Arabidopsis thaliana: one gene and its partner. The protein of the gene in region 2 interacts with the protein of the main gene of each other region in a pairwise test. Each region holds a gene or a part of one and is shown on either strand. Other genes may lie near its edges.

Region 1 (3,755 bases), about 20 Mb from region 2:
GTAAAATATCAAACAAATTGAAAGGGTAAAAAAAAAACAAGAGGGACAAGTCACTGTTAGAAAGGTGACTCCTCCCTTTGGGCCAGCCCCCTACCACAAAAGTCAAAGCTTACTTACTATTCAGTCATATATCGACACGTGTACTTCGAACCACATCACCCATCCTATTACGTAATTTCCACTGTCTAGACTTTTTTTTTTTTTTTTTTTTTTACTTTTTAACGTTTTTTAGCTGTCTCTCTAAATTACTACATACGGACTTGCTACGTCACCTGAGAAGAAAGATCTTTGCTCGTAGATTCTTTGTCTGAAGGAAAATTATTTGTATTTAGTTATTTACAATTGCATAATTGTGTGTAGTAAATCCGCCAGAATGATATTAGAGTGATACTGAGACGACGAATGGTGTAACTTGTAACATATATACTAATAAACACGATTGATTAAAAATTTACTATACAGTATATCCAAAACATTATGATTGAGAGTGTACATATACAATAAGTAATTAAACCTCAAAACCAAACAGTTTTTTTTTTTTTTGGTCAACAATAATTAGAAATGAGAATAAACTATTTAACTTATAAATTCTAGACCCAAAAACTCATATTTTACCCTTCTTGGTCTCACCTAAAAAGACTTTAATTCCCAAAACTCTTGCAAACAATGGCCAAACATAGAAGATTGGAAAACAAATTTAAATCTACTTTCACTTTTATAAAGAATAATCAACGAACCAATTAAGTTAAACCTACATATATTCGTATGTGATCACATATGTGTTATATTCCTCACGTTCTCTTCCATTTAGCTAATAACCTTAATTACTTCAAGAAATCATATATCAACCGAAAACTAGTAAAATAAATATACATACTGAAAGCGCGCAAAATTTTTAGCAATATTTTAAAATACCCTACATCATAGTCTTAACTAATTAATCTTTCTGATCAAAATTTATTTTCATAATATTCATAAATACTTATGGATTACCTAAACCAGGATACTTATCCCTATAAATCTGTCAATCATCATGGATTCATGGAGACATGGTCAGATATCCCACGTCCAGATACAATGTAACATATTGATATACTGCGGCTGATTATTATTTTTTACATTAGAACGAGTTTAGATCCAAAACAAAATTGGTATTCTCAAACAAAAATTAAAAATTGAATACGAAAGTAATAGAACAAAACTTCAATGTTGTCGAATAGATAGGAAGCAATAGAAAAGCGACACGTACATGTCCATTTTAAGGTAGGAGAGGCTTTTCTGCGGCTTGTGAAGTAAGAAAAAGAAAATGATGATAGCTGCTTTCGTTTCATTCATTGCAGAAGAAACCAATGTTTCCCCAATCTCACGCGCCTCCTCCTATCTACCACCACTTGGACAAATCCCCTTTTCAGTATTAGTTTTTTTTTCCGGACATTGTACATTCAAAAGCATTCCAAGTGTCTAATAAACATAACTAACCACTCCAAGATGCAAAATCTAGCTACGAACAAATTTTAAACTATAGAGATGAACTTTAAATTCGGGCATTAATTAGTGGAACTTGAGCTATTGATGAGTTTTCTGACTTTTTGAAGCTTAATTGAGTTTTATATACACTATATATAGGCTTGTAATAATATGGATCAAACAAGAAATATATAAACTACAAATTGGGAATTAGGTTTTAAAACGTTATCGTTCTATTTTAATTCAGGCACCTTTAGAATATCAAGATCCATGCATGTTTCAATATTTCTGTTGACAAATAAATAAAGATGTCTCAAATATGAAGTTTGGGCAACGTACGTGTAGACCTAAAAGAGTCGAAACATTGGTATCTAAGTCATATATCTAGATGTATATGGACATGGATTATATAACTAGACAACGTTTGTTTTAAAAACTTAATTCATTTTTCTTAATTAGTAGCAACTAGCAACTAACTACTCATGGCAAATAATGGTGTCTGCGTGGCACGCACTTGGGAGAGAAGGTGTGAGAATGTTTTTTACTTTCTGTGTAAAAGATGGAAGAGAGAGAAAGAGTAAAGAAGTAGAGAGAGAGATATTGTATCACCAAACCCTAATGATCTCTCACCCTCACAAATTTTCTTATCTTTATAGCTTTTATAGATTCACAAAAACTTTTCTTCAGATTCACAATCTCATCACAACCCTTCAAAAAGAGAAAAGATCTAAAGAATAAACAAGAGCCCTAATATCAAATCACAACCAAAAAAACCAAAGAAAGCTAATTAAAGTTTTCTCTCTAGCTATTCCTCTTCTTTTCTTGTTCTTGAAAACTAGGGTTTACTTCACCAAAAGATAAGATCTTTCCCCAGAAAAAGCAATACCCAAGTCATGTTTCTGTGTGTCTGTATATAGATAAAACATTACATACCCTAATAAGGTTACACAAATAGCTATAAAAGAGGGAAAATAAGATAGGGATTTTTTGGGGTGAGGAAAGATGGGAAGAGGAAGAGTAGAGCTCAAGAGGATAGAGAACAAAATCAACAGACAAGTGACGTTTGCTAAACGTAGAAATGGTTTGCTGAAAAAAGCTTATGAGCTTTCTGTTCTCTGCGATGCTGAAGTCTCTCTCATCGTCTTCTCCAACCGTGGCAAGCTCTACGAGTTCTGCAGCACCTCCAAGTACTTCTCTTTCTTTATACACTTATTAGATCTGTGTGTAGATCTTTCATTTTTCTAGTCTTGTGATGAGTTTTATCTTTCTTGATTGCTTTTTAACAAAATACTTGATATATTTTCAGTTTCTTAATCTGATCTCTAATTAGGTTTTGATTATAGAAGAATAATTCAGTACTTTCAAGTGATTGAATTTCGAGATCTGATCTTAATTTAATCATCATGTCAAATTCTTAGGGATTTAATTGCAATCTATTTTTAGATTTATCGGAGCTAGGAAAGTATCATAATGATATACTATTATTATCATGTAATTTCATTGTCTCTACACGGATATATATGTGATTAGAACTTGGTAAAGTAAACTAAAGATTCACAGTCTTCAATGAAATTTAAAAGATCCAACGTAGAATAATTAGTGGTTCCATGCATTAACCAGTCTAATTAAAGCTCATGCAGACATTTAAGCACCACATGAATTTAATATCTTTTTAATTAAGGGATCTTCTTTTTATAAATTTTCTTTTGTTAGTTTTTAAAATTTTAGTTTGTTCATTAAATTTATAGATTCTTCTTCTCCTGATTTGTGTTTTTTGATCTTTCAGCATGCTCAAGACACTGGAAAGGTATCAGAAGTGTAGCTATGGCTCCATTGAAGTCAACAACAAACCTGCTAAAGAGCTTGAGGTTTAATCTCCAACATCTCTTCGATCTTAATTATTTATCCTTTTTTAATTTTATCTAAAGAAAATGTTTGATTTTGAGACAAAAGCCCTTCAAAGTTTCTTACATAGATATTCAATTGTCTATTATCTTCGCAATTTTCAGAACAGCTACAGAGAGTACTTGAAGCTGAAAGGTAGATATGAAAATCTGCAACGTCAGCAGAGGTATATACATTAATGTGGATGATGATCATTTATAAACAGCATATATATATATATATATATATATATATATAGTTTGTATTGATCATGAAAGTGTGTTGCTGCAGAAATCTTCTTGGAGAGGATCTTGGACCTCTGAATTCAAAGGAGCTAGAGCAGCTTGAGCGTCAACTAGACGGCTCTCTGAAGCAAGTTCGCTGCATCAAGGTGATTTACTTCT
Region 2 (3,755 bases):
ATCTCGGATGCTGAAAGTTATCTCAGCTTATGTAATGCAAGACGATCTTCTCTTCCCGATGCTTACTGTGGAAGAAACCTTAATGTTTGCAGCTGAGTTTCGATTACCAAGAAGCTTACCTAAATCCAAGAAGAAGCTTCGAGTTCAAGCCCTAATCGACCAGTTAGGGATAAGAAACGCTGCTAAAACAATCATTGGAGACGAAGGACACCGTGGAATCTCCGGTGGAGAAAGAAGGCGAGTTTCGATCGGAATCGATATCATCCACGACCCGATTGTTCTCTTCCTCGACGAACCTACTTCTGGTTTAGATTCCACAAGTGCTTTCATGGTGGTTAAAGTATTGAAGAGAATCGCAGAGAGTGGCAGTATCATTATAATGTCAATACATCAGCCAAGTCACAGAGTTCTCAGTTTACTTGATCGTCTTATCTTCTTGTCACGTGGACACACCGTCTTTAGTGGTTCTCCGGCGAGTCTACCGAGCTTTTTCGCCGGGTTCGGTAATCCGATACCGGAAAACGAGAATCAAACGGAGTTTGCACTCGATCTAATCAGAGAACTCGAAGGATCAGCTGGAGGAACAAGAGGATTAGTTGAATTCAACAAGAAATGGCAAGAGATGAAGAAACAGAGCAATCCTCAAACCCTAACTCCGCCGGCTTCTCCAAACCCAAATTTAACCTTGAAAGAAGCGATTTCCGCCAGCATAAGCAGAGGAAAACTAGTCTCCGGTGGCGGCGGTGGTTCCTCCGTCATAAACCACGGTGGCGGAACCTTAGCCGTCCCTGCATTCGCGAATCCGTTCTGGATCGAAATCAAAACTCTCACCAGACGCTCAATCCTCAACTCCCGACGACAACCGGAGCTACTCGGAATGCGATTAGCCACCGTAATCGTCACCGGATTCATCTTAGCCACCGTATTCTGGCGATTGGATAATTCACCAAAAGGAGTTCAAGAGCGGTTAGGGTTCTTCGCATTCGCAATGTCAACAATGTTCTACACTTGCGCCGATGCTCTTCCCGTGTTCCTCCAGGAACGTTACATCTTCATGAGAGAAACAGCTTACAACGCTTACCGGAGATCCTCCTACGTTCTCTCTCACGCCATTGTTACCTTCCCTTCGCTCATCTTCCTCTCTTTAGCTTTCGCAGTGACGACGTTTTGGGCTGTTGGGCTTGAAGGAGGCCTAATGGGCTTTTTATTCTACTGCTTAATCATCTTAGCCTCTTTCTGGTCCGGAAGCTCCTTCGTGACTTTCTTATCCGGCGTCGTTCCACATGTGATGTTAGGCTACACGATCGTTGTTGCTATTTTAGCTTACTTCTTGCTTTTCAGTGGCTTCTTCATCAACAGAGATCGAATCCCTCAGTATTGGATTTGGTTTCATTATCTTTCTCTGGTTAAGTATCCATACGAGGCGGTTCTTCAGAACGAGTTCTCGGATCCTACAGAATGTTTTGTGAGAGGTGTTCAGCTTTTCGACAACTCGCCTTTGGGAGAATTGACGTATGGGATGAAGCTGAGGCTTTTGGATTCTGTGAGCCGGTCGATAGGTATGAGGATATCGAGCTCTACGTGTTTAACGACGGGTGCTGATGTTCTGAAGCAGCAAGGAGTGACACAGCTTAGTAAATGGAACTGCTTGCTTATCACGGTAGGTTTCGGATTCCTATTTAGGATTTTGTTTTACTTGTGTTTGTTGCTTGGGAGCAAAAACAAGAGGAGGTGAAACTGAAACTACTGATGATACCTAAAACCAAAAACATATATTGTAATTCTTTTTCATTACTTGTAATTCGTAGATTGATTGTGTATTTGAATTGTATTCTTTTTAACATTTGTATTACTTTTGCCATCAATAAAAAAAATATCATTCTTTAGGAAATTGGAAATACAAAAAGCACCTATGAATCGCTTTTACTCAGAAAATTAATGCAACATTTCAAATAGAGGCATTGAGATTGTGGAAGAAAAATGAGGAGACACAGACACTGTTGCTAGAGGCAAGTAACTCTCAAAGCCATTTCACTTTGTAAGGTATCAAAAAGTCAAAATTGGAAGGCTATCTACAAAATCAATTAAAAACAAACCGATTTATCTGAAATTTAAAACCGAAACAAACCGGACCGAATCAGCATCAGAATATCGTCTGGTCCTGGCCGCTCTGCTCTAGCCGCAGTCGAAACACGAGTCCATAATACGAGCGGTGGTTGCTCACGCGCCATCCAGTTTGGCTGGAGATGCTATTCTGCATTTCGACAGTGAAGCTTTTCGGGTTTCAACAAAGGCGCAATGTTAGCTCTTTAGCCAAGCGTTTCAGTCTCGCCGGGAAACTAACGTTAGAGCTCCAAACTCAGGTTTGATTTGTGAAAGATTGAGACTTTCGTGAAATTTGTGAAATCAATGTGATGGACTGTTCACAGCTTGATTATCTCAAGTGTTAGAAAAGTTTTATCATACCTGAGTGTGGTTCCAAGAATTTTTCTAAGTTATGTATGTTTCTCCTCTACTGATAGCAATTGATACCAAAGATGAAACCTTTATGTTCTTTTAGCTTCTTCTATCTATAGTTAACCAAACAGACTGTTGATTTTGGGAGCTAATTGATGTAAGAAGATGTTGTACAGAACTTTTATGTCTCTCACAAAAGAGGATTTACGATCATCTTATCCATTTTATATCTAGGCTTCGTTGGACAATAACTTCTTACCCTGGTTAGAGCGAATTGCTGGAGCAAAGATAACTAATACTCTTTCGATTGGGAAATCCACCTATGGCAGGTGGGCTTGATGATGTTTTGAATAAGATGCAACTTTGCAAGTATTTTTCAAAATCCGTTTTTCGAGTACCTCGGTTTTCTGTTTACCGGCAATTAAAATATGGATTGTTAGACACATTTTCTCTATTCAATAATTCTATTCATAGTTCCCTTTCAATGTAATGATCAGATTCTTTGTTGATACCTTCTGTGGCAGCTTAATTTTTATATGACTTGTCTTGATGTTCTTTAATATGGTTCTGTCTTGTCATCAATAGTTGAAACATTGTACAACTTTGAATCATGTTATTTTGTCTTGTTTAGTAATCTGATTGTTTTCCATCTTTATGCGATTGTTTAATGAGTGATTGTGAGAATAACCAATTTCATTTCCTACCAGAGGCTGTCTCCTGGTGTGATGCTTTATCTTTAATGTCAAATACACTAACCATGTTAATAACTATATCAACTTCTGAGCAGGTCACTGTTCGCCTCCAAAGTTATCTATGCTGGTGACTGCATGTTGAAAGTCCCTTTTAATGCGGTATATTGTTGTCTACTGAAACGAGCTTTTCTGTTATCATGTGTCTTAAGAAGTATTGGAAATTCTTTTTATGCCATTAGTGTTGTTCTAACTTAAAATTTCAGCAAATAACTCCAGATGAGCTCCCCTCGGATATTAGAGTTTTATTGAGCAATGAAGTTGGGAATATCGGAATGCTTGCTGCTGTTCTAATAAGAGAGAAGAAAATGGGTCAAGTAAGCTAGGGCATCAACATTTGAGTAATTGACTTAAAATAAGTCTCCCATTTCATGTGAGTGTTTTGGTTTTGACTTAGTCTCTGATTGCTTTTGAATCAGAAGTCTCGATGGGTCCCTTATATCAGCCGACTTCCTCAACCTGCAGAGATGCATAGCTCGGTGAGATTTCACTCTAGTTATTATGTCATATGTTCGAGTCTTGAATTTTTGTTTTGGCCACTTCTTTAAT

The links. The genes of interacting proteins can lie anywhere in the genome.
Region 1: the proteins of AT3G55080 (region 2) and SEP2 interact in a two-hybrid assay, tested with the Arabidopsis thaliana proteins (one large-scale study listed by BioGRID).

The regions. Positions count from the first base shown.
Region 1 is NC_003074.8:465,402-469,156, reverse strand, and holds the start of SEP2 (K-box region and MADS-box transcription factor family protein), read left to right. Parts: upstream 1-2,005; 5' UTR 2,006-2,469; coding exon 2,470-2,654; intron 2,655-3,253; coding exon 3,254-3,335; intron 3,336-3,476; coding exon 3,477-3,538; intron 3,539-3,642; coding exon 3,643-3,742; intron 3,743-3,755. UniProt on the Arabidopsis thaliana protein: Probable transcription factor. Functions with SEPALLATA1/AGL2 and SEPALLATA3/AGL9 to ensure proper development of petals, stamens and carpels and to prevent the indeterminate growth of the flower meristem.
Region 2 is NC_003074.8:20,414,322-20,418,076, reverse strand, and holds the start of AT3G55080 (SET domain-containing protein), read left to right. Parts: upstream 1-2,033; 5' UTR 2,034-2,246; coding exon 2,247-2,363; intron 2,364-2,561; exon of another isoform or gene 2,562-2,691; coding exon 2,692-2,786; intron 2,787-3,244; coding exon 3,245-3,308; intron 3,309-3,412; coding exon 3,413-3,523; intron 3,524-3,625; coding exon 3,626-3,685; intron 3,686-3,755. Other genes in the region: ABCG16 (ABC-2 type transporter family protein), read left to right, coding at 1-1,735.